Macaca mulatta: one gene and its partners. The protein of the gene in region 1 binds, or shares a complex with, the protein of each later gene. Links are inferred from orthologs where the notes say so. Each region holds a gene or a part of one and is shown in the gene's direction. Other genes may lie near its edges.

Region 1 (3,500 bases):
TAATAGCCCGCTCTATAAATATGATACAATTGTACCTGGTTTTCATGGTAAATTTAAATGCCTGTGAATGAGGCCAACTGTGGCTGCAAGTCTCAGTGCAATAAATGTTCAATCCCTGCCAGATTGATTGTTTTAACACTCTAGCATGAAGGCTGACATGTGTCTCCTTTTACCATGCTAAGAATTCTGTGCATTTGATATAAATTAGCTCTCAGCTATACCTGGTCTTTAGTGACCTCCCCCAACTCAAAAAGAGCGGTGGCTCATGCCTGTAATCCCAGCACTTTGGGAGGCCAGGACAGGAGGATCACTTGAGGTCAGGAGTTTGAGACGAGCCTGGCCAACATGGCGAAACCCCATCTCTACTAAAAATGCAAAATGTAGCTGGGTGGGCACAGTGATGTGCACCTGTAGTCCCAGCTACTCGAGGGGCTGAGGCAGGAGAATCGCTTGAACCTGGGAGGCAGAGGTTGCAGTCACCCAAGATTACGCCACTACACTGTAGCCTGGGCGAGTGAGACTCTGTCTCAAAAAAAGACAAAACCACAACCAAAAAGAAAAACCCGGCCGGGCGTGGTGGCTCACTCCTGTAATCCCAGCACTTTGGGTGGCCGAGCTGGGTGGATCACATGAGGTCAGGAGTTCAAGACCAGCCTGACCAACATGGTGAAACCCTGTGTCTACTGAAAATACAAAATTAGCTGAGCGTGGTGGCGCACGTCTGTAATCCCAGCTACTTGGGAGGCTGAGGCAGGAGAATCTCTTGAACCCGGGAGGCAAAGGAGGTTTCAGTGAGCCAAGATTGCGCCATTGTACTCCAGCCTGGGCAACAAGAGTGAAACTCTGTCTCCAAAAAAATAAAAATAAAAAAATCCCTCCACACACCCAGGAGCATTTCCAGCTGGGAGGGCACTGGTCTCATTGTCTGGAATTGCTGTGGGGACACCCTGCTCTCTGTCTCTCTTTAATCTCAAAGAAACCCTTGAGCTGGGAGGTGGTGAGGGAAAGTGATTGATGGTTCGTTTGTGGGAGAGGAGTCTGAACTCAGGTGGTAACAACAGTTAATTTTTTTCAGCTGTGCTATACTGACATCCTCTTCACAGAGCAAGAGGTAAGCATGCCTTGTGGAATCAGATTGTTGCCTACACCAGACCCCCCAGTAATAGTTTTGTAGGGAATGTAGAGGAGCCTTTATGATAGCATTTTAGTTCGTACTCTACTTCTTTCTCCTCACTTCTCACATCCCATCTCCTTCTTCCTCCAGTTACTCCAGGGTTATAACTTTAAAAAGAACTGGGTAGGCAAGCTGTAGGTTGGGAGGGGGACCCTCCTGTTCTTGACTAGATTAAATTTGGCCTAATATAGGGCAAATACTAAGAGGTGATGTCTGCATTTGTGCTTTAAGTTACGCAGAAGCTCAACGTGATTTTTTTTTAAATGACGTCATCCTTTAAAAATCCGCAGGATGACTCCATCCATATGATGACCTCTTTCTAGGAGTAGCTTCTCTTTGAAAATGGGTTCCTATATCTTTGTGTTCCTCTTTTTGTCTTTCCATCCGGATCTTTCTCTCTACTCTCTGACCCCTTCTCTTTCCCCCCTCTTATTTCTGTCCCTTTTTCCTAATGGAAGTTTTAAGTATAAATAAGTATGGTTAACTAAAGGCACTTGGAATTAGTAAAGATAGATAGGCAGTTAGTGTTAGCTGTTACTGTTTTATAATGCATTTATATATTTGTTTGACTGGAATTTTAAACAAATGTTTATTCCTGTCATAGCTTTTATATTTCTTTAAAAAAAAAAAACACTAAAATACCCCAGATTGTTTCTTTTTACTTTCAAGGTGCTCAGCTATTTTTGTTTCTCATGTATAAAGAGGATGAGATTCTAGGACCCTGGATTCTCTGATAGGGCTTAATACTGTTTTGTTTGCAGTAATTCATTTTCATCTTTTCATACTTGAAACAAGCCCCCCCAAAATGCTATCTAACACCAAGATATTTTATTTTCAAGGTCATGCTGGCTAGAAGCCTAGATAAAAATCACCCACCATAAGGAGAGCCATCAGTGTAATTTAGTAGCAATTGGGGAGCCCCAAAAGCAAAATGAACCCCTCTTGCATAGGAAGAGGTCTTGACCACTCTTTGTTTCTTTCAGAGAGGTGTAGGCATCAAAAGCACTCCTGTGACAGTGGTCTTGCCAGACACCAAAGGAAAATCTTATCTCTTCAATATCATGGACACTCCAGGTAGGACATCCTTTGGCTTTTGATTATTGGAACCTTGTCTTGGTTTTGCGTGTGTCCTCTCACTTTCCAGAGCAGAACAGAGCAGTGCATCTTTGTTTTTACATTCCCTCACCTTCATTGACACCATTTTCAGTTTTGACTCTCCCCTTTGTTTCTGGCTGTTAATTTAGCAAGCATCGTACTTCAGGCCTCCTATTCATGTCTTTACTCTTTTGAATATGTAAAAATGTTAGGGAATCGTATTCATTTATTCATTTCAGCCCGTCAGGCCCCATGCTATCTGCTGGGGAGCTAAAGGTGAGTCAGACCCAGTTCCTGGCCTCGAGTACTCTCAAAGGAGACTGGTGAACATACAGATGACCTTGGGAACAGGACCCCTTGGCTGACTCTTCCTCCTATTGGAAGGACCAACTGGGGCAGAGTTTTTAAAAACTGAAAGGTTTTAGGTTTTGGCTGATTTGCCTTCTTGGCACCATCTGATGCCCAGTGTCCTGATACCTCTCAGCCCCTGCCCCTATAGCACCTCGGCAGGAACTGCCTTCCTCGAACAGCACACTGTGCTCCAGGCCCTCCTTTGCCTTTTCTCCTGCCTCCAGATTGTCTTGAGTCCCACAGATCTCTGCTCACTGCTGATTAGGCTAAGCTGGTGTGTGATGTGGACTCATGCTCTCCTGGGCACTTCCCTCTTTTTAGGTAGGGAGCCTCCCGTAGAAAAGCATAATGCAAGGATATGATTCTAATGGGGGATATTTTTGTCCTGCAGCGGGTTATGGCGAGGAGGGGAAGGGGGTATTTGGAGGTTCACAGGCTTTGAAGTGCCCCCTCAGTTCACCGTACCAGTTAATTGTGCTTTATCCTACACCAAGTGATGACTTACTTAGTATTTGCTTTTCAGGACATGTGAATTTCTCTGATGAGGTCACAGCTGGCTTGCGCATCTCAGATGGAGTGGTTCTTTTCATTGATGCTGCCGAGGGGGTGAGTCAGACTCAGCTCCCAGAATCTCATCCACCCTGTTATGTTTGCCCCCCGCAATACCCAGAGCGCTAAGTGAGCTGGGAGCCAGAGAACCTTGAAACTCTCTAGGATTAAGGCTCAAATTTGCTCTAAAATTAAAGCAGCAAATGAAGTTCAAAATTAATTCTCACCGGGTGTGGTGGCTCGCACCTGTAATCCCAGCACTTTGGGAGGCTTAGGTGGGTGGATCACCTGAGGTCAGGAGTTCAGGACCAGCCTGGCCAACATGGCAAAA
Region 2 (4,073 bases), on another chromosome or scaffold:
TCAGACGGTAAGGTAAGATTTCCACAATTGTTGAAAGAGCCTGACACATAGTAGGAACTCAAAGTCTGTACAAAGACTTAAAGTTCATGAAACAATATACAAACTAAGGAAGAAATCCACTTAAGTTTAGGGTGAATAAATCTAATAACTGTTTGGTAAAAACTACACTGACAATGACTGTCTTGTCAGTGTTCAACACTTATGTGAAACACTGAGCTTTTACAAGGCCAAGCCCCGTTTTAGGTTAAATTCTCGCAACCACGCTGAGGATGGTTCCGTTTTTAAAGCCGCGTTCCTGCCGTGGAAACAGTGGCCCTGAGGGTTAAGACACTGCCCAACACCGGCTGCGCCTGATAGACGCAGGTTCCGAATGCAGGCCCTCTCCAAAGTCTTGCCCACTGCTCCACAGTGCCTCAACAACCAACATTTCATCCTCAACCTCAAATCCATCTCTTCAGGGCCGCAAAAAAGCGTTACTTCCCAAAGGGCGTGTTCTCCAAGAACTGCATTTAGCATTTCAGATCAGAGTGAGCCGAACTCACTAGGATTACGACAAAAACCAGTGAGATTCAGATAACACCGTTACGTCGAAAGTTTTAATCCGTGACAGCGGAAATATTGCTTACGCCCTTAGGTAATTTCAAATGCACGTAAGAAGGCCGTGCCAGTCTCTGCTGGCGATGCAAAAGAAAGATGGGGCCGGCGGGGTCGTGGGGGGTGGGGGGACATGACACCGTATCCCAGACACAACCTGACCTCGTTTAAAATAAATTCTGTATCCGACTCCCTTCGGTGCGTTTCACCGCCCCTAGTCTTGTCTGGCTACCCCCGAATTCCTTTAAAAGGGGTTGAAATGGGTGTTGCAGAAGAGAGAATACTCAGGTAGAAACGGCCTGCGGCAGAGGCGCCCCCAAATCATGGAACCTGTTGGAAGAGTGAGGAAGGAACTCTGGGATCCTGAACATTCTCACGGGTGTAAAAAGACAAAGTAAAATCCCCATTAACCAAGTTGGGGAGAAGTCACATCCGTCACACAGCCTCTCCCAGACCGCACATTTACAACACCGGCCTGCCTCCAGTCCTTGGCTGCCTCACCTTGCTCCTCAGAGCGGGTTTCCCAAGACCCGCGCGCAGCCGGCCAGGCGCAAACTCAAGCCGCTGCTGGTTGCCAGGAGATACTGGTCCAACCATCTCCTCCAATCAGCGCGCATCTCTTTTCGTCCAATCACAGAGGCAGGAAGGGCCGTGGTGGGAGGTGAAAGGTCACACTCCTGTTTGGCGGCCATTTTTCTTGAAATTCAGCGGCTCGGGACCTGGGGTACCTGCTGTAGTCACGAGGGACAAGCGGCAGCCTGGTCGGCAGTGAGTAGCCTGCAATATTCGGCCGTGGTTACGATGGTAAGGAGAACGAGAACGGCGGGAGAAGCGGGGAGAAAGAGAAGGAGGGAGACCACCTCGCGGGGCCTAGTGGTTGCTTCGCGCGTTTCCCATTCATCCGCGTGAGGCGCCGCGCACCCGGTCGCCAGCTTCTTTCACTCTGCTTTTAGGATTTCTGAGGCGCGTGCTCCTCCCGATGCCTTTCTTTTTCTAGGAGTGCCCGTGCCTTCTCCTCTTTGTTTGAATCCGGGCTTGGGATATTCTTATTTGTGGCTACAGGGTCGGGGTAAAACTCAAAGAGAATTTGCACTTCCCACTTAACCACACTCCAAAATTCACTTTCATTGCATGAAAGTAATGATACGGCCATGCTCTAGTTTAACTCGGTTGGGGAAGACAGACAGTCAAAAAATAACAAATATGCAATTGCAAGTAATAAGTGCTAAGAAGAATGCAGACAGGAGGCTGTGAGGGTGCGCGTTAGACATTTAGAGGCTTAGTCAGAGATGGCCTCCCTAGGAGGTGGAATTTAACCTGAAGCCTAAGTGTCATGAAATAGACCCTTTAAAGAGCAGGAGGAGGAGTGTACCGAGCACAGAGAATAGGCGCATAAGACCTGCGGCCGGAAAGAAAGCTTGGTCAGTTGGAGAAATTGACAAAAAGGTACAGCCACTTGCAGGAAGAGTGGTTACGAGATGGTGTCGGAGGAGCAGGCGTTGGACAGGACCTCTTAGGCTGTATTGGGAGGTTTTGATTGTACTCCAAATCAATTGAAAATGATTGAGTTGGAAGCCATTGAATCATTTTAAGCAGAAATATGACAATTTGATGTGCACTTTAAAAAATCATGTTGCTGTGGTGGATAATAAATTGGAGAATGAAAACTGGAGACCCATTAGGTTATTGGAGTAATCGCCGCATCAAGTCACTCCGAATATGTTTATGTTAGAGGGGGTTAGTAGCCAAGTTTCTTAGTTCTGTTCTTTCTTTGACTGGTGAGTGAGCAGAAAAAGGCAAAAACCGAATTCACTGGAGATGTTAATGGTTTGCTGAGCAAACTTTAAGTGATTGCTATAAGAGGCAGTGCTAGTGACAAAGTCATTTAGGACCTAGCCCTAGCTTCCACAGTTAAAGACTGTCAAGCGTCATCTGCCCTCTGCTTCCTTCTGTAGTCTTATATTTGGGACTTTGACTGACAATGCTGAATTGTATGTCCCCAAAATCACCTTGTTGCTTCACTCTTCCCTCCTTTTACATAAGTAGCTAGCCTTGCCTGGAACAGGATTTTTTCCCGCTCTGGAAATAAATTCTCATTCTTTAAAACTGAGGTTAACTTATTTCAGGCAACCTTTCCTTTTTTCCCTGGATTGCTTCGGTACCCTTGTGCCTAGTATATCTCCTCTTATTATGTTGCAATATGCAGTATAATTATTTGTATGTGAGGAGCCCCCCTCCCCATCTCCAACTTCTTGACAGGGACTCTGTTATTTATTTATGACAAGGTCTTGCTCTGTTCCCTAGTAGCCGGGACTACAGGTGTGCACCACCACATCTGACTATTTTTGGTAGAGAAGGTGGTCTCACTATGTTGCCTGGGCTGGTCTTGAAATTCTGGCCTCAAGTGATCCCCCTGCCTTGGCCTTCCAGAATGCTGGAATTACAGATATGAGCCACCCTTTCTGGCCCGCATTTTTTTTTTTTTTAAGTGCCTTTATCTTTGTTTCTTTAGAGCTCAGAACAGTAAGTGATGTATGTAGTCGGTGTTATCTTAAGTGAATAGTGAGTATTTTGTTTTGATGGGTTAAAGGTGATACTGGCTAACTGGATATTTAAATTTCCCTGGTACTCTCCAATAAATGAAAGTGAAAATTGTGTACTAAAATAATGAGTCAAGAGTTTTCTTCATTTGCATACCACAAAATATTGGTATTTAGTAGAAGAGAGTTGGTGGTGGGAGGAAAAATAATTAATTGGATCCTTTTTTGTTCTTTGTGCAGAGTTTACCCCTCAATCCCAAACCTTTCCTCAATGGACTAACAGGAAAGCCAGTGATGGTGAAACTTAAGTGGGGAATGGAGTACAAGGGCTATCTGGTATCTGTAGATGGCTACATGAACATGCAGGTAAGCTAAAGAGCTGTAAAGGTCATAACATTGCATTTAGTTTGCTTCACCTTATTGCTCAAAGGTTTAGTCTGACTAATAAGAATACATACAATTAAATTGACAAATGTACGGCAAAATTAAAAAATAAAGTCAAAGCCAGGGAGGATACTATGATATACTAGGTACAAGACATGGACTTAAACCAGAATTCAGCCACAGATTTTATTCCTAGTAGTTAAAGTAAGAAGAGCTCAGACATTTAATTCATAATAATACTGTAAGGGAAACACACTACTTTGCTGGAGAAAACAAAACATTTCTCATCATTTAGCCCTGAAAGAAAGTTTTCAAGTGAAATTCATGAGTCTTTTAATGAATGATGCTAAAGGCACAACACCAAAGTTATTGAGGAAATTCATTCCTTCAGGGGAAAGACACATCTGCCGAAGAAATTGAACTGACTGTATGTCTGTCAAATGAGTTTCTGTAAATGATTCAGCCATGTGTTTTGGTGGGGTTTTTTTTGTAATTAATTTTCTTTTTATTGTGGTAAAATATACATTACAATTTTGCCACTCTAACCATTTTTAA
Region 3 (3,500 bases), on another chromosome or scaffold:
ATGTTGGCCAGGCTGGTCTTGGACTCCAGACCTCAGATGATCTGCCCACCTCGGTCTCCCTAAGCGCTGGAATTAAAGGCATGAGCCACTGTACCCAGTCTCAGTTCTTAGAGTGTTTTGTATGTTGAAATGGGAATATGTCCAATATAAACTGCTGAACGAGAACTACAAGTTACAGATGTGAATAAAATATGACCCAATTTATGTAAAAAGAAATCTGTATATATGCTTATGAATGTGCATATAAAATGATCTGGAATAATATTCCTACATACCCACAGTGCAGGGGGTTAGGAAGGGAGATTTTTACTTTATATATAAATATTGTAATAAACTTGTAATCTTTTTACCAACTGTAATTCTTTATTTTTCATGATTTATGAGTCTGAGATCTTGTATGTCTGGATTTGAGGTTTGAGAATTAGAAACGTCCAAATGACAGTTCATGTTAGTATTGTTGTGTTCCTTCATAAAGGTTGAGGATATGATTCAGGAAAGCTGAAATTGTTAGCATATTCTTGATAGGAATTGATGCAGATAGCATCTACAAATTTTCAGCGTCTAGTTGTTTCATCTTTTTACCTTAATAAATGTGATTTTGGCCGGGCGCGGTGGCTCACGCCTGTAATCCCAGCACTTTGGGAGGCCGAGGCGGGCGGATCACAAGGTCAGGAGATCGAGACCACGGTGAAACCCCGTCTCTACTAAAAATACAAAAAATTAGCCGGGCGCGGTTGTGGGTGCCTGTAGTCCCAGCTACTCGGGAGGCTGAGGCAGGAGAATGGCGTGAACCCAGGAGGCGGAGCTTGCAGTGAGCCGAGATTGCGCCACTGCACTCCAGCCTGGGCTGGGCGACAGAGCGAGACTCCGTCTCAAAAAAAATAAATAAATAAATAAAATAAAATAAATAAATGTGATTTTAAAGTGTTGCAGGTAAAAAGTAATGGTTTTATTCCTATTTATAGATTTTTGATGAAATTGAGTCATGAAACTGTAACCATTGAATTGAAGAACGGAACACAGGTCCATGGAACAATCACAGGTACGGAGGTTGGACTACTTTTATAACATTTTTTTCTTCTCTTTTACCTGCTATCCAGAGTTTATTTTTTGATTGCTTAATGAACGTTATTGTAGTACAGATTCTTATTCTTTTGTCTGAATTATGTAATTTATTTATTTATTTATTTATTTATTTATTTATTTTTTGAGACGGAGTCTCGCTCTGTCGCCCAGGCTGGAGTGCAGTGGCGCGATCTTGGCTCACTGCAAGCTCCGCCTCCCGGGTTCACGCCCTTCTCCTGCCTCAGCCTCCTGAGTAGCTGGGACTACAGGCGCCCACAACCGCGCCCGGCTAATTTTTTGTATTTTTAGTAGAGACGGGGTTTCACCGTGGTCTCGATCTCCTGACCTTGTGATCCGCCCGCCTCGGCCTCCCAAAGTGCTGGGATTACAGGCGTGAGCCACCGCGCCCGGCCTATTTTTTTTTTTAAACAGAGTTTTGCTGTGTCACCTGGGCTTGAGTGCAGTGTCATGATCTCGGCTCACTGTAACCTCCGCTGCCTGGGGTCAAGCAATTCTTTTGTCTCAGCCTCCCGAGTGGCTGGGACTACAGGTGCCTGCCAGCATGCCTGGGTACATTTTTTTTTTTTTGAGACGGATTCTCACTCCGTTGCCCAGGCTGGAGTGCAGTGGCACAGTCTCAGCTCACTGCAACCTCCGCCTCCAGGGTCTGATTAATTTTGGTAGAGATGGGGTTTTGGTCTCGAACTTGTGACCTCATGATCCATCCACCTCGGCCTCCCAGAGTGCTGGGATTTCAGGCGTGAGTCAAGTCACTGCACCTGGCCTAATTTTTGTATTTTTAGTAGAGATGAGGTTTCAGCATGTCAGCCAGGCTGATCTTGAACTGGACCGGGCTGGTCAGAAGACCTCAGTTGATCCGCCTGCCTCGGCCTCCCAAAGTGCTGGGATTACAGGCGTGAGCCACCGAACCTGGCCTAAGTAGGTCTTTAGTTATCCCATTAGTTCAGGTATAATTTGGTAAAGGCTTCAGTATTCAGGTGTTTCAGCTATAATGTCATATAATCACCCTGAAAAATTGCTTTGTATTTTGTAAACTCTCATACTAAAAATAGTAGCTTAATGAGAAGAATAGGTGTTGCAGACTACTTAAAAGCCTGTGTAACTTTGTAATCAAAATATTCTTAACAAAAGTGGTAACAATTATTACATATAGAGAGAAGCAGAAACAAAGGTGAGGATAGTTTAGTGGAATGGGGATTATGAGAAAGTCACAAAGACAGTGAGAGAAACATTCAAGAAATACCTGTCAGATCAGTAGTGAGCCTGAAGCCCAGTCAGGGTTCTTCCATTGCTTGCTGCATTCATTTCTGTAAGCAAAACTTAGTGTGCTAGGAAAAATCTCTAGGAAGGAAACACTGCTGATTTATACTGACGTTATTCCCCCATTTACCAGTTGCATATGTGCTAAATTATGTCATAGAAAACTTGCACTGTAGCAGAACAGTATTCTTTTGTAGTCCAGTATTTACTGTGGCTCAGTAGATTAATTAGTTGCCTGACTTTTATCATACTAATAACTGCCCAATTATTTTTCTTTTTAGGTGTGGATGTCAGCATGAATACACATCTTAAAGCTGTGAAAATGACCCTGAAGAACAGAGAACCTGTACAGCTGGAAACGCTGAGTATTCGAGGAAATAACATTCGGTATTTTATTCTACCAGACAGTTTACCTCTGGATACACTACTTGTGGATGTTGAACCTAAGGTGAAATCTAAGAAAAGGGAAGCTGGTAAGTTTGAAGGATTATAAAAATTTTTGTGAATGCTAATCCTAATCCACACTATTCATAATATAAATATTTGCAAACAACACAAGTGTCTTTGTTGTTTAATATTTCCTATAATGTGTATTGTAACTCCTGGTGTTGCTATTAAAAACATTGATGCGGCTGGACACAGTGGCTCACGCCTGTAATCCCAGCACTTTGGGAGGCCGAGGCGGGCAGATCACCTGAGGCCAGGAGTTCCAGACCAGCCTGGTCAACATGGAGAAATCCCATCTCTACTAAAAATGCAAAAAAAAAATTGGGCGTGGCGGCGCATGCCTTTAGTCCCAGTTACTTGGGAGGCTGAGGCAGAAGAATCACTTGAACCCGGGAGGCGGAGGTTGCTGTGAGCCAAGATCATGCCACTGCACTCCGGCCTGGGCTACAGAGTGAGACTCTGTTTCAAAATAATAATAATAATATGGTTGTAATCCATAGCTTGAAAAACAATGATTTAACCTCTCACTCATGCTGTGTATCATGCTGCTTTCCACTTTGCAAGAACCCCCTGTGGGTACCAAAATCTACAGATGCTCAAGTCCCTTTTCATAAAATGGTAATAGTGTTTCCATCTAACCTCTGCACATCCTTTTGTACACTTGTAATACCCAGTATAATGTAAATGCTTTGTAGATAGTTATATTG
Region 4 (2,598 bases), on another chromosome or scaffold:
GAGGATCATTACAAAAACTCATTTTGTAGTTAGGGAAGCACAGTTAAAGCAGAGTATTATTGCCATTTTAGGGGGAAGTATTTCTTTTTTTCACTCCAGTTACTGTAAGATGGCATTTTTATATAGTAGAAGCCCTTTTATCTAAAAGGATTGAGTCAGTTAATTAAAAATGTCAGCTAATGTAAGCAGTCATTAAAAGATACACATACCTTATTTTAACTTAAAGCACATAACTGTAGATGTATTAATCATATGGTATTGAAACAAAGCCTTTTGAGCATAAATCAACTGATAAGTGCTCTACATGATTGTCGTCACAAAAATCACAATCAGAATATGTTCAGTATCTTTAAAGTGGAGCAAAAATTGATGCTTGAGGTATGGAGTCCTTTCCTAGTGATTTTCCCCCAGTTGTCAACAGTTGTCTTACCCATACCTAATTCAATAGCAATTCCGATTATTCCTGGTCGTCCTAAAGTAGTCACTTAGGTTTTATGGAATCAGTCACTCTTTTTGCACCGACATTTCATCAGTTTCCATAATATTTTTGTCACACAAATAGAATGACAGATACAATTGATACGAACACGTCAAGAATAAATTCTGTACAACTGACTATAAGTATATATCTCACATGGACGGAGCAGAGCAGAGATGTACAGGCATATCAGACAGTAGCCATCTGGAATAGGCTAAACCCATCAATTGTAGAGGTTGATGGAGGGATGAAGAGCATGGATTAATCCTGTGTGTTGCGTAAGTGGGGTTATTTAAGAGTGTGTTTCTAGTGTAATATACAATTTTCTCTCATTAAAAAAAATTTCTAGATTTGATCCATATGGAAAGAATAAGTTCTCCACTTGCAGAATTTGTAAAAGTTCTGTGCACCAACCAGGTTCTCATTACTGCCAGGGCTGTGCCTACAAAAAAGGTAAGTTTCTTTTAATACCTTTTTTCTATTCATAAAACCTACTTCATTTGCTGCTAATTTGGTTAACAGAAACGATGTAGCCTGTCATAAATTCTGTTAACCAAACACTCTTTATCCTAAGGCAAAATGGGACGTAAAACCTGTTTATAATTAAAAGTATATATATATATATATATTTTTTTTTTTCTCTTCTGATGCTGTTAAATTATATTTTAAGCTTCAGGATTGACTTAAACCAAACAGTTGGTATTATGATTTGATTGATCACGTATCTTCTTTTGTTTCAGGCATCTGTGCGATGTGTGGAAAAAAGGTTTTGGATACCAAAAACTACAAGCAAACATCTGTCTAGATGTATTGATGGAATTTCTGACTTTCTAAATGATTTTACTTTCTGCCTTGAATTTTCAAGGCATAGATGTCAACTTACAGAATAACGTGTTTTAAGACAATTACGTTTAAACCAGAGAATTTGATTGTTATTCATTTTGCTCTCATGCTCTAAACAGCAACAGTGTAACTAGTCTTTTGCCGTAAATGGTTTTTTCCTTATGAGCATTTTATTGAACTAAGTGGCAAATTCCATGAAAAATTTCTCAGTTCTGTATGCACTTTAAACATTATTCATGTAATTCTCCCCCACACACACTTTATTTATAGATACTGCAAAAGTGAGAAGGAGGTAATAGATATTTTGCTCTGAATTTGGCATCCAGAGTTAACAGTTCTCCCCTAACTCCCTTACTCGTGTCATAGTTATTAGGATCAGCAGCCTCTTAACTAATTGCAGTTTCATAGGATGTATAAATGTTTCAAGCCATTATTGCTGAATGGTTCTTTAGTTATTAACCTAGACCCAAATCAAAGACCAGTTTTTATTTGTTCTTGCCGCCAAAGTGCCAGTTCCTTTAATATGTGACCAGGAACACAAGGAATATCCATATATCCAAATAAACACACTGAATTTTAGAAAAACTTATTACTTTGAATTCAAATTGTCATGAAAACCAGAACAGTGTTTGTCCATGTTGCATGTAATGAACATAAATCCCTGCTCTTTGAGAAAAGCTCTTTGAAGCAAAAACCAAACTTTTTGTTTTTTTACCTCCTGTCTCCCTCCCTAAAAGAAATAAATAAAGCAAACATCTTGACTCTCCCTTTTTAAAATTTGTTTGTTTGTTTGTTTGTTTGATACAGGATCTCACTCTGTTGACCAGGCTGGAGTGCAGAGGTATCATCAAGCTCTCTGCAGCCTCCATCTGCTGGGCTCAAGCAATCCTTCCACCTTACCCTCCTAAGTAGCTGGGGGCTACAGGTGTGTGCCAGTGAGCTCAGCTAGTTTTTATTTTTAGTAGAGACGAGGACTCGCTATGTTGCCCAAGCTGTTCTCAAACTCCTGATCTCAAGCAATCCTCTGGCCTCAGCCTTCCAAAGTGCTGGGTTACAGGTGTGAGTCACAGCACTTGGCCTCTCTCTCTCTCTCTTTTTTTTTTTTTTATACTACAGGTTTCAAATGAGTACTTTTCTTATGTTGCCTTCAGAGGTTCAGGACTTCTGCTTTTAAAATCTGCAGGCTACCATGGGAGACCAAAAAAGCATTCCCCATTTCCAACTGCAGTATGTATAAATACGTATCACTATAAAATGTGTAGAATAGATAGTGTGAT
Region 5 (4,276 bases), on another chromosome or scaffold:
ATCCGTGCATTCTCCTATTTTGGGGTAACATAACTGGGAACAAGTCCGAGGCCACTTTTTACACATCTTGACATGAAAAAGGAATACCTTGTATTAGAGAATGTTTGTGTGCTGCACTTCACGTTTTATATACGGGGCAATGGCACATCAGTGAGTTCTGGAGGTAATGTTTGAAAAATTGCAGAACTGCCAGGCATGCTGGCTCATGCCTGTAATCTCAGCACTCTGGGAGCTGGAGGCAGGCGGATCTCTTAAGGCCAGGAATTCGAGAACAGCCTGGGCAACAAAGCAAGACGTCGTCTCTACAAAAAAAAAAAAAAAAAAAAAAAAAAAAAAAAAAAATTAGCTGGGTGCAGTGGCTTGCGCCTGTAGTCTAAACAACTCAGGAGGCTGAGGTGGGAGGATTGATTGAGGCCAGGGGTTCGAGGTTGCAGTGAGCCATGATCACATCATGCATCCCAGCCTGGGTGACAGAGCAAGACCTCATCTCAAAACAAAAAAAAATTTTTTTTTGCAAGACCCATCAGTCGGAAATAGATTGAAATTCTTGGAGACAGGCCCAGTCACCTTACTCTCCAAATGGTGCAGAGGCTGCTAATTTGCATGTTACCGGAACCCTACTTGGTCTGAAAGTATGCTGTAGGATACCTGCCAAAGAAATATAGAGGCCCGGCTGGGCGCGGGTGGCTCACGCCTGTAATCCTGGCACTTTGGGAGGCCGAGGCGGGCGGATCATGAGGTCAGGAGATCCAGACCATCCCAGCTAACACAGTGAAACCCCATTTTTACTAAAAATACAAAAAATTAGCCGGGCGTGGCGGCGTGTGCCTGTAGTCCCATCTACTCAGGAGGCTGAGGCAGGAGAATGGCGTGAACTCAGGAGGCGGAGCTTGCAGTGAGCCGAGACCGAGCCACTGCACTCCAGCCTGGGGGACAGAGCGAGACTGTCTCAGAAAAAAAAAAGAAATATAGAGGCCCATTCCTCCAGGGATCATTATTTGGTATTTTGGTTTAGATGAAGAAAACAAGCGATACGATCCACAGACATGCGGGATTTGCCGGGTTTGCCCAGAAGTTAGAGAGGGGACTGTTATCTCAGTATTTCAATTTTATTTTTTAAATAGAGGAGGGGGTCTCCCTATGTTGCCCAAGCTGGTCTCGAACTCCTGGGCTCAAGAGATCCAAAGTTCTGGGATTTACGGCGCCAGGCTTTTTTTTTTTTTTTTTTTTTTTTTTTTTTTTTTTTGGCTGTTCCATAGACAAGAACACGGATACTCCATCGTCAGAATACCCGTTATCTCAATTTTGCCCAAGGAAAACCGAATTTAGAAAGGTGCCTAGAGGGCCCACCCCTCTGTCCTGGCCAATAGCTGACGACGCAACCGGAAGCTCAGCAATGACCGAGGCGCTCAGATATCGCGATGTGAAGTGTTAAAAACTGCCAACAATCGATTGGCTAACTAGGTCGATGACGCCAAACGCAAGACGCCGGGCCTACCGCGGGAGCCTGAGGGAAGCCGTGCATTCAGTTCCAAGGCGTCTGTGAGTCCGCGGAGTATACGCCATGAGCAAAGCTCACCCTCCCGAGTTGAAAAAGTAAGTATGTGTGAGAGCCAAACCGAAGTGGTCGCTTCTTTGCGTCCCCCGAGTCCCTTGGTGTTTCAAGCCGAATGGCTTGAGCCGCTTCACCTTATTTCTTCTTCCGGTCCGAGGTCGCCGGCATCCCGGCCAGGCTCCGGCTCATGAGACGTGAAGCCCGCGCAGAGCTCGCGCATTGGCGTGGTTACCGCCGGCAGCCACCGCACCTCCTTCTGGCCGACTAGTCTCTCTGTCCCGCGCTCCGGCCCCTAGTCACCCGGCGCTGTCCCTCGTTCCTTGAAGATCTCCAATGCCAGCTTTTGTTGAACATCTCTAATAGCATCATATTCTAGATAGACGGCTAGAGGGGGAAATTCTCTAAAGGAACTAAGGAGGGGATGGAAGGGAAGTGTTTTTAAAACTACGTGAGGCATCGGAATCCAAAAGCCACTTTAGCCTTAGAGAATGTGTTTGTAGGTGTTTCTTTGAGCTTTTACTTAGAAACCTCATTCTTTTTTGTTGCCTATTTTTACATTAAGCTTGAATGTCATGTGTTATCTTGCTCTGATATTGAAACTATGTAAGAACATTCATTTCTAAAATTAATGTTCTAAAAAATAAAATTTTTTTTAGAACATTAATTTTTTTCTAATCAGAGAAGGCTAATTTTTTTAAGTTTCTTTTACACACCCAGTAAAGACAAACAACTTTAAGGAGGAGAGCCTTAATTTATGTAGGACTCAACGTAAAACTTTAAACTCCTCAAATACTTTTTGACTGGACTTAACAGGTTATGTGTTTCCTCAGTACGTCTCTGTTTTGCTTGTACTCCCTGATGCTGGAATTCTACATGTATTTATTGGATTGCACAGAGGATGCAAAATTTTTACAGGAATCAATTTTTTCTGGTGTAGCATGTGGTTGGCTTTGTGTATAGTTCATTTATTACCAGGCCCCTGGAAGTCAGACATAAGGAAAAGTTCCTATTTAATAATTTTGCGGCCAGTGGCGGTGACTCACGCCTGTAATCCCAGCACTTTGGGAGGCCAAGGTGGGTGGATCACCTGAGGTCAGGAGTTCGAGACCAGCCTGGCCAACATGGTGAAACCCCCCGTCTCTACTAAAAATACAAAAAATTAGCCAGGAATGGTGGCACGCGCCTGTAGTCTCAGCTACTCGGGAGGCTGAGGCAGGAGAATCGCTTGAACCCGGGAAGTGGAGGCTGCAGTGAGTCAAGATCTAGCAATTGCCCTCCAGCCTGGGCAACAAGAGCGAAACTCTGTTTCAAATAATAATAATATTGCATTTAAAGGTATATTTGTATCAAAGCCATCTTTTGTATGAAAACTACTTTCATGTATATTTTAGTTAGGTCTGTTAAGGAATTAATTATTAAAACATAGCCCAACGTTAGAAAAATAGAAGTTAGAAATTATTGTGAAAATTACTCTTTTTATCTGAAAGTTATTTTATTGGTGAGTTGGTGATGTAAGTATCCTCTGGATTCATCAGGGACTGGTGAAATGGTGATTTTTCTTTTTTTAAACAAAAGCACCATTCTCTACTTGTAATCTAAGATTTTATTTGTGATTCATAACATAGTTTTTGAAAATTTCAGAGAAGGAAGCTAGTTTTAATACCTTTCTCTTCTCATCCATAGGTTTCATGAATTGTGAAATCCCGTGAGATCTGCCGTCAAAATGACTTTCAAATTTTTTCTTTCTTTGCTTTCTCACTGATAGCATCTTCTTTTACACCATTATGCCCTCCTTCTGGCTTAGCGTAACTCAGGGGTTCTTAAATGGGGGGTAAGGAATCTGGTGACACCAGGGATGCTGCTAAACATCCTACCGTTATTCGGCTGCCCCCAACAATACAAAATTACCTGGTCCCAAGTGTCATTAGTGCAGAAGTTGAGATACACTGGCTTAACCGAATTCTTCCTTCCACTTCTTAAAATTTGCTGCCACAGTGGTCTTGCCAGTGACAGCTTTAATAATTTATCACAGTATGCAAAACTGAATCTATACTTAAGCCAGCATTCAAACGCCAAACCTTACAGCTGCTAATACTCACGTGTTCTCTTCTCCAGTCAGACTGAACTATTTGTGTTTGCTCTCACTTGCTGTGTGACTTCGAAAAATTGATTTACCTTTTCCAAGCCTAGTTCTCCATCTGTAAAAACGGTAGAAATGACAGACCATAATTGCATGCAAAGTCATTGTAAAGATTGTATAAGATCTTGTGTTATATTTGATATGTTTTATGTATCTTATTAAAATAGTTTTGTTCATCATACTTCATAAATGTGTGTATATATTATATATAATATGTAATATATATTACATATATAATTTTACATATAATATTACATATATATTACTTTTTTTTATATATATACATATATATATATATATATTTTTTTTTTTTTTTTTTTTTTTTTTTTGAGATGGAGTTTCACTCTTAATTCCCAGGCTGGAGTGCAATGGTGCAATCTCGGCTTACCGCAACCCGTGCCTCCCGGGTTCAAGCAATTCTCCTGCCTCAGCCTCCCGAGTAGCTGGGACTACAGGCATGCACCACCACACCCGGCTAATTTTTTTTTTTTTTTTTTTTTTTTTTTTTTTTTTTTTTTTTAGTAGAGACGGGGTTTCTCCATGTTCATGTTCATCAGGCTGGTCTTGAACTCCCGACCTCA
Region 6 (3,500 bases), on another chromosome or scaffold:
ATTTTGGATATTAACCCCTTATCAGGTGTATGGTTTGCAAATGTTTTCTCCCATTCCGTAGGCTGTCTCTTCACTCTGTTGATATTTTCCTGTGCTGTGCAGAAGCATTCTAGTTTTTATGTAATCCCATTTGTCTCTTTTTGCTTTTGTTGCCTGTGCTTTCGGGGTCATATCCAAAAAATCATTAACCATAATACAGTAGTTTCACAGTTTCAGGTCTTATGTTTAAGTCTTTAATCTATTTTGCATTGATGTTTGTATATGTTTTGGGACTAAGGTCTCTTTTCATTCTTCTGCATCTGGATGTTCAGTTTTCTTGGCACCATTTATTGAAGACACTGTCTTTTCCCTATTGTGTCTTCTTAGCATCTTTGTTGAAAATCAGTTGACTGCAAATGTCTGGATTGATCTCTGGTTTCTTTGTTTTCTATAGCTCTCTGTGTCTGTTTTTATACTAGTGTCACGCTGTTTTGATTACTATAACTTTGTAGCAGATTCTAGGTCAGGGAGTGTGAGGTCTCCAGCTTTGTTCTTTTTGTTCAAGATTGCTGTGGCTATTTGGAGTTTTTTGTGGTTCCATGTGAGTTTTAAGATTGTTTTTTCTATTTCTGCGAAAAATGTAACTGGAATTTTGATAGGGATTGAGTTGAGTCTTTATGTTGCTTGGGTACTATGGACATTTTAGTATATTATTTCAGTCCATGGACAAGGGATGTCATGCATGTTCTTCCATTTTTTCATCAGCAGTTTGTAGCTTTTAGTGTACAGACCTTTCATCTCCATGGTTAGATTTATTCCTAAGGTTTTTTGTTTTTGTTTTTGTTTTTTTTATAGTTATTGTAAATGGGATGTTTTCTTGGTTTCTTTTTCAGAAAGATAGTTCATTGTAAGCATATGGAAGCACTACTGATTTTTATATGTTGATTTTATGTCTGCAGCTTTACTAAATTAGTTTATTAGTTCTAACAATTTTTTGGTTAAGTCTTTAGGGTTTTCTATATTAAGATCCTGTTTACAGCAAACAGACTTCTCTATTTTTGATTTGGATGCCTTTTATTTCTTTCTCTTGCCTCATGGCTCTGGCTAGGACTTCTAGTACTATGTTGAATAGAATTGGAAAGAGTAGGCACCCTTTTCTTATTCCTGATCTTAGAGGAAAAGCTTTCAGCTTGTCACTGTTGAGTATATTAGCTATGGGTTCATCGTATATGGCCTTATTCCAATTTAATTTCTAGTGAGAGTGAAGTGGGAATGTGAGAGAAATGGGAAAGATAAGCAATAAATTTGAGAAAAGCGGAAAGGAATCACCATGTTCTATAATATGTGGTTTTAAGCAATTGGTGATATTTAAAAGGGTCAGAAAATAGAAGTACTCCATGTTCTACTTATTATTTTAAAATCTGAGGGCTGTTTTCTCTTGTCATTTTACATGACTATGATTCATCTTTTAAAAAATATGGAATTTAGTGGCCAGGCATGGTAGCTCAATGCCTGTAATCCTAGCACTTTGGGAGCCTGAGGCAAGAGGATCACTTGAGTCCAGGAGTTTGAGACCAGCCTGGGCAACATTGTGAAAACTCATCTCTATGAAAAATACAAAAATTAGCTGGGCGTGGTGGCACGCAGTACTCCCAGCTACTCTGGAGGCTGAGGTGGGAGGACTGCTTGAGCCCAGAAGGCAGAGTTTCCAGTGAGCCAAGATCAAGCCACTGCACTCCTGCCTGGGTGACAGAGTGAGACCCCGTCTCTCCCCAACCTCACCAAAAAAGGTGGTGGTATAAAGTAGGTGCAGCGAGTTGTAGAGGTACAGAAAGGTGATCAAGAGACAGCCATTATCCATAAAAGTGGGCAGAGATCTCTCCATTTTACTTACAAAAAAAGTAGACTCAGAAGACTTAATGGATTGCTAAAGATATTATAATTTATAAGCTGCATCCTTTTTCTCATTTTCTACTCTAGTGATTCTGTTGTTGTATCTAAAACTACCATTAAGACTTTTTTTTCCTGACTTTTGGCAATCCAATAATTACTTGTCATTACATTGCTAAAAATAACTTCAGTTTGCCCAATTTGCCTTTCCCCTTCCTCATCAAATGCATATAGAAACATGACCATTTTCAAAATGAGTTACAAGTAGGTACCTTTTAATTTCCTGTTATTGTTTTAGCATTAATCTTGCATTGCTTTTAATTCATGTCTTTATTTCTCACAGGAATTTTCCAAATCTTCATTTTATTCAACTAAAATTAGACTTAAAGATTTAAACCCAAATTTGTCTTTAATCACAAAATTAATTTTATAAGAATGACGGATTCATAGTAGAAACTTTATGTTGTCTAGCTTTCGTACTTTTGAAGCAGGTCTGCTTTTGTTTACTTTTTTGAAAATGTTGAATTTATTTATATGAACCTTAAAAACCTCAAATTCATGATTTGATATAACAGACTGGGAAAAGAGGAATTATATGTAGAGAGAAAAATTTTGGCGATAAATTGCAGCAAAATCTTCATTCTATTTTACAAAATTACAAATTCACATTTCATTTTCTGAAAAACAATTTTTATTTATTAGTAAGGTGAACTCTTTCCATTTAGTTCTGATTTAGATTTTATGATTATTTATAGAGATGTATTACTGAATTTTAATAGTTTTTGTTTCATTTAATTCATTTGGTTATTGTTGACTCCTTTTTTTATTCTTTTTTAAACAGAGGACTGCTCTCCAGGTCTGTTTTGCAAGCACAGAGTGCTTCTCCAATCTTCACCCATGTTTATGCAGCATTAGTGGCAATTATCAACTCAAAATTTCCACAAATTGGAGAATTAATCCTCAAGAGGTTAATTCTTAATTTTCGAAAAGGCTATCGAAGAAATGATAAGGTATATATGAATGGCTTGTAGGTAGAATGATACATAGGAACAGACTAATAAACCAGTATCAACAAAAGTAAGCAAGGTTGATTTTGACACAGGTACATAACATAATGCTTTTTAAAAACTGTCTTTCATGAGAACTTCTTTATTCTCTTAAATATCCCTGGCCACTATTGATGAGCCACAAAAATGATGGCTCTAACTGTAGAATTTTAACTGTTTAACCAGAAGTGATACTCTTTCATGTGTTTTATCTTATAACTTTCTGGTAATACAAAAATTATACTTGTGTGGTACATGTTTTAAATAGATTGTTAGTAGGCCATAGATTAATGTAAATAAATGAAAATTGGGTTTAGTTTATGGATTAACTCTCCACCTTCACTTTTCAGCAACTTTGCCTGACTGCTTCAAAATTTGTGGCGCATCTTATTAACCAAAATGTGGTAAGTAATTATCTTCAATACTTGTTCGCATTCAGTGGCATTAGACCACAGGGTTGATGCCACCTCACTGATACCTCTCTATTTTTGCTTTGCTTTATAGTCCTTAGGATAAATATGTTGAATGATATTTTCATTTGAAAACTATAATAAACGTATTTAATATTCTTTTTTTTTTTCTTTT
Region 7 (3,284 bases), on another chromosome or scaffold:
AGTTGATGGATATTACAATTTTTAGAAGGGACATTCTAGAGAAATGGAATCATCATTCAAATAAAAATGCAAATTAGTAGTACAAGAACAGAATCTCCTAAATAAAATCAGACCACTACACTTTAGGATTAAGTTGGTGACCGTGACTTCTTACACTATTTTAACCAACATGAATTTCTTTTCCTTTTTAAAAAAAAGAAAAAAAAAAGAAATATCTAGTTGTTGCCTTTTGGGACACTAAGAAACAACAGCTGTAGATCACACGTGGACAATCACAAATTCAAAAAGTAAATAAATTTATACTCTGTACTCTAGAGATGATGTGAAGGGCTAAGAGGGGAAAATGAATCCTGATGTAAAACACAAGACCTTGCAGTAAATTCCTAAACGCTTGCAAGAGAAAGTGGGGAATAAAAAAGTCAAGGGTGGCCGGGAGCGGCGGCTCACGCCTGTAATCCCAGCACTTTGGGAGGTCAAGGCGGGTGGATCACCTGAGGTCAGAAGTTCGGGACCAGCCTCGCCAACATGATGAAACCCCGTCTCTACCAAAATAAATAAATAAATAGCCGGGCGTGGTCCCGGCTACTCAGGAGGGTGAGGCAGGAAAATCTTTTTTTTTTTTTTTTTTTTTTTTTGAGACGGAGTTTCGCCCTTGTTGCCCAGGCTGGAGTGCAGTGTCGCGATCTCGGCTCACTGCAACCTCCGCCTCCTGGGTTCAAGCGATTCTCCTGCCTCAGCCTCCCGAGTAGCTGGGATCACAGGCATGCGCCACCACGCTCCACTAATTTTGTATTTTTAGTAGAGATGGGGTTTCCCCATGTTGGTCAGGCTGGTATCGAACTCCCGACCTCAGGTGATCCGCCCGCCTCGGTCTCCCAAAGTGCTGGGATTACAGGCGTGAGCCACCGCGCCCAGCCAGGAGAATCTCTTGAACCCGGAAGGCGGAGGTTGCAGTGAGGGATTCTCAGGCTTGAGCCACCTCTTCTAATCTACCTTTCCGGCCCCCGCGTCGCTACTCTGCCCTAAGGCCCACTTTGATACACCCAGAAACGCTGTTTTTCACCAGAGCAGGATGTGGTTTCTACCGCGCTTCGTTTCGCAAGCCTCGGCTTCTAGGCAACCGGAAGAAAATAGAGGGCCGGCCTCGGAGAGAGGGTCCGCAGGCTGACGGACTCTCTGCCCACCATCCTTTTCAGAAATCAGCCAGTGGAGTCAGCCCCCGGGCCCAGGAAGCCGCCTTACCTTGCCCCCGTTAGTGAACCTCTGGATGTACGCAGTAGCCAGTCCTGGAATAAACAAGCACACGCCCATGGCGGCGAGTCCGGGGAGAATCTCGAACCACATCTCTGCCCCGTTATCTAGGCCAAAACCCTACTTCTGGGTCCTTGAAAGGTGACCGGGCTTCGGCTCCCTTCCCAGTAAGCCCCGCGGCCGCCCGCGAGCGGGGCGGTGCCACGTACGGCTCCGGAGGAAGCGACGGGATCTGCCAGGGCTCAAGAGAGGCTGGCGCTCGCGCTCTCGCAGTTCTCTTCCGTCAGTGTCTTTTGCTTCGACTCCCGGCGGAGCGCGCGACGTGGAGTAACGCGCAGAGGCCAAGTGCAACCCAGGCAGCGACGGCCGTTTCGGAGCTCGGGACTCTAAAATGGCAGAGCAGTTTTCTCCAGGGAAGACGGCGGATCAGGTGTGCACCTTCCTTTTCAAAAAGCCTGGGCGGAAAGGGGCTGCTGGACGCAGAAAGCGCCCGGCCTGCGACCCAGAGCCCGGAGACAGCGGCAGCAGTAGCGACGAAGGCTGCACTGTGGTTCGACCGGAAAAGAAGCGGGCGACTCACAATCCAATGATACAGAAGACTCGTGACAGTGGTAAACAGAAGGCAGCTTACGGCGACTTGAGCAGCGAGGAGGAGGAGGAAAATGAGCCCGAGAGTCTCGGCGTGGTTTATAAATCCACCCGCTCGGCGAAACCCGTGGGACCAGAGGATATGGGGGCGACAGCTGTCTATGAGCTGGACACAGAGAAAGAGCGCGATGCACAAGCCATCTTTGAGCGCAGCCAGAAGATCCAGGAGGAGCTGAGGGGCAAGGAGGATGACAAGATCTATCGGGGAATCAACAATTATCAGAAATACATGAAGCCCAAGGATACGTCTATGGGCAATGCCTCTTCCGGGATGGTGAGGAAGGGCCCCATCCGAGCGCCCGAGCATCTACGTGCCACGGTGCGCTGGGATTACCAGCCCGACATCTGTAAGGACTACAAAGAGACTGGCTTCTGCGGCTTCGGAGACAGCTGCAAATTCCTCCATGACCGTTCAGATTACAAGCATGGGTGGCAGATCGAACGTGAGCTTGATGAGGGTCGCTATGGTGTCTATGAGGATGAAAACTATGAAGTGGGAAGCGATGATGAGGAAATACCATTCAAGTGTTTCATCTGTCGCCAGAGCTTCCAAAACCCAGTTGTCACCAAGTGCAGGCATTATTTCTGCGAGAGCTGTGCACTGCAGCATTTCCGCACCACCCCGCGCTGCTATGTCTGTGACCAGCAGACCAATGGCGTCTTCAATCCAGCGAAAGAATTGATTGCTAAACTAGAGAAGCATCGAGCTACAGGAGAGGGTGGTGGTGCTTCCGACTTGCCAGAAGACCCCGATGAGGATCCAATTCCCGTTACTTAGCTGTCTGATAATTCTTAAATTTAAAAAATAAATATTTTGTTCTTTTGGAAGTCTTAATTCGTGTCCTTCCTTTGTAGAGACAGTGACAGAGAAGGCGGGTGGTGAAGTAGGGTCCTGGATTAAAAACCTCAAGGTAGGTATAATCAGGATTTTTAGCCCTAGGATAACCATTTTGCCTGTGTTTCTTTTCAGAACATTTTGGCATCAATTATAGGGGTGGGAGTAGTTTGAGAAAAGAGCTATAATTTGCTTGAAGTAGCCAAAGCTATGACGAAAGTAAGAACTCTGAGCCTGTTTATCATATCACATTTCTGTATCACTTAATGGTTTACAAAGTACTTTCATGCATTCTTTCTCTTGGGAGCCTGTACTACAAAATATACCGGAGCCAAGGTGTTGGGGAGAGGGGTTGCGTTTGGGGAATTGGTAGCTAGTACCACAGGCTTCACATATGGGAAATGTTCCTTGCTGTCTGGGTTATTTATTTATTTATTTATTTATTTATTTATTTTTGAGACGGAGTCTCGCTCTGTTGTCCAGGCTGGAGTGCAATGGCGCTATCTCAGCTCACTGCAACCTCCGCCTCCCGGGTTCAAGCGATTCCCCT

Evidence for each region.
Region 2: EFTUD2 (region 1) and SNRPF share a complex: the UniProt entries of both Homo sapiens proteins name them as parts of the minor spliceosome. The link is inferred for Macaca mulatta from reciprocal best matches to the Homo sapiens genes EFTUD2 and SNRPF.
Region 3: EFTUD2 (region 1) and SNRPD1 share a complex: the UniProt entries of both Homo sapiens proteins name them as parts of the minor spliceosome. The link is inferred for Macaca mulatta from reciprocal best matches to the Homo sapiens genes EFTUD2 and SNRPD1.
Region 4: EFTUD2 (region 1) and CRIPT share a complex: the UniProt entries of both Homo sapiens proteins name them as parts of the minor spliceosome. The link is inferred for Macaca mulatta from reciprocal best matches to the Homo sapiens genes EFTUD2 and CRIPT.
Region 5: EFTUD2 (region 1) and SNRPG share a complex: the UniProt entries of both Homo sapiens proteins name them as parts of the minor spliceosome. The link is inferred for Macaca mulatta from reciprocal best matches to the Homo sapiens genes EFTUD2 and SNRPG.
Region 6: EFTUD2 (region 1) and CWC22 share a complex: the UniProt entries of both Homo sapiens proteins name them as parts of the minor spliceosome. The link is inferred for Macaca mulatta from reciprocal best matches to the Homo sapiens genes EFTUD2 and CWC22.
Region 7: EFTUD2 (region 1) and RNF113A share a complex: the UniProt entries of both Homo sapiens proteins name them as parts of the minor spliceosome. The link is inferred for Macaca mulatta from reciprocal best matches to the Homo sapiens genes EFTUD2 and RNF113A.

What each region holds. Positions count from the first base shown.
Region 1 is NC_133421.1:69,256,213-69,259,712, reverse strand, and holds part of EFTUD2 (116 kDa U5 small nuclear ribonucleoprotein component), read left to right. Parts: intron 1-1,075; coding exon 1,076-1,111; intron 1,112-2,157; coding exon 2,158-2,248; intron 2,249-3,143; coding exon 3,144-3,226; intron 3,227-3,500. UniProt on the Homo sapiens protein: Required for pre-mRNA splicing as component of the spliceosome, including pre-catalytic, catalytic and post-catalytic spliceosomal complexes. Component of the U5 snRNP and the U4/U6-U5 tri-snRNP complex, a building block of the spliceosome.
Region 2 is NC_133416.1:103,187,286-103,191,358, forward strand, and holds the start of SNRPF (small nuclear ribonucleoprotein F), read left to right. Parts: upstream 1-1,273; 5' UTR 1,274-1,395; coding exon 1,396-1,398; intron 1,399-3,374; coding exon 3,375-3,500; intron 3,501-4,073. UniProt on the Homo sapiens protein: Plays a role in pre-mRNA splicing as a core component of the spliceosomal U1, U2, U4 and U5 small nuclear ribonucleoproteins (snRNPs), the building blocks of the spliceosome.
Region 3 is NC_133423.1:70,786,568-70,790,067, reverse strand, and holds part of SNRPD1 (small nuclear ribonucleoprotein Sm D1), read left to right. Parts: intron 1-965; coding exon 966-1,042; intron 1,043-2,627; coding exon 2,628-2,819; intron 2,820-3,500. UniProt on the Homo sapiens protein: Plays a role in pre-mRNA splicing as a core component of the spliceosomal U1, U2, U4 and U5 small nuclear ribonucleoproteins (snRNPs), the building blocks of the spliceosome.
Region 4 is NC_133418.1:78,211,129-78,213,726, reverse strand, and holds the end of CRIPT (cysteine-rich PDZ-binding protein), read left to right. Parts: intron 1-827; coding exon 828-931; intron 932-1,218; coding exon 1,219-1,283; 3' UTR 1,284-2,098; downstream 2,099-2,598. UniProt on the Homo sapiens protein: As a component of the minor spliceosome, involved in the splicing of U12-type introns in pre-mRNAs. Involved in the cytoskeletal anchoring of DLG4 in excitatory synapses.
Region 5 is NC_133418.1:54,435,747-54,440,022, forward strand, and holds the start of SNRPG (small nuclear ribonucleoprotein G), read left to right. Parts: upstream 1-1,476; 5' UTR 1,477-1,564; coding exon 1,565-1,596; intron 1,597-1,712; exon of another isoform or gene 1,713-2,043; coding exon of another isoform or gene 2,044-2,051; intron 2,052-3,238; exon of another isoform or gene 3,239-3,339; coding exon of another isoform or gene 3,340-3,386; intron 3,387-4,276. UniProt on the Homo sapiens protein: Plays a role in pre-mRNA splicing as a core component of the spliceosomal U1, U2, U4 and U5 small nuclear ribonucleoproteins (snRNPs), the building blocks of the spliceosome.
Region 6 is NC_133417.1:84,908,053-84,911,552, reverse strand, and holds part of CWC22 (pre-mRNA-splicing factor CWC22 homolog), read left to right. Parts: intron 1-2,710; coding exon 2,711-2,879; intron 2,880-3,265; coding exon 3,266-3,319; intron 3,320-3,500. UniProt on the Homo sapiens protein: Required for pre-mRNA splicing as component of the spliceosome. As a component of the minor spliceosome, involved in the splicing of U12-type introns in pre-mRNAs. Promotes exon-junction complex (EJC) assembly.
Region 7 is NC_133426.1:126,364,799-126,368,082, reverse strand, and holds RNF113A (E3 ubiquitin-protein ligase RNF113A), read left to right. Parts: upstream 1-1,427; 5' UTR 1,428-1,642; coding exon 1,643-2,677; 3' UTR 2,678-2,784; downstream 2,785-3,284. UniProt on the Homo sapiens protein: Required for pre-mRNA splicing as component of the spliceosome. As a component of the minor spliceosome, involved in the splicing of U12-type introns in pre-mRNAs. E3 ubiquitin-protein ligase that catalyzes the transfer of ubiquitin onto target proteins.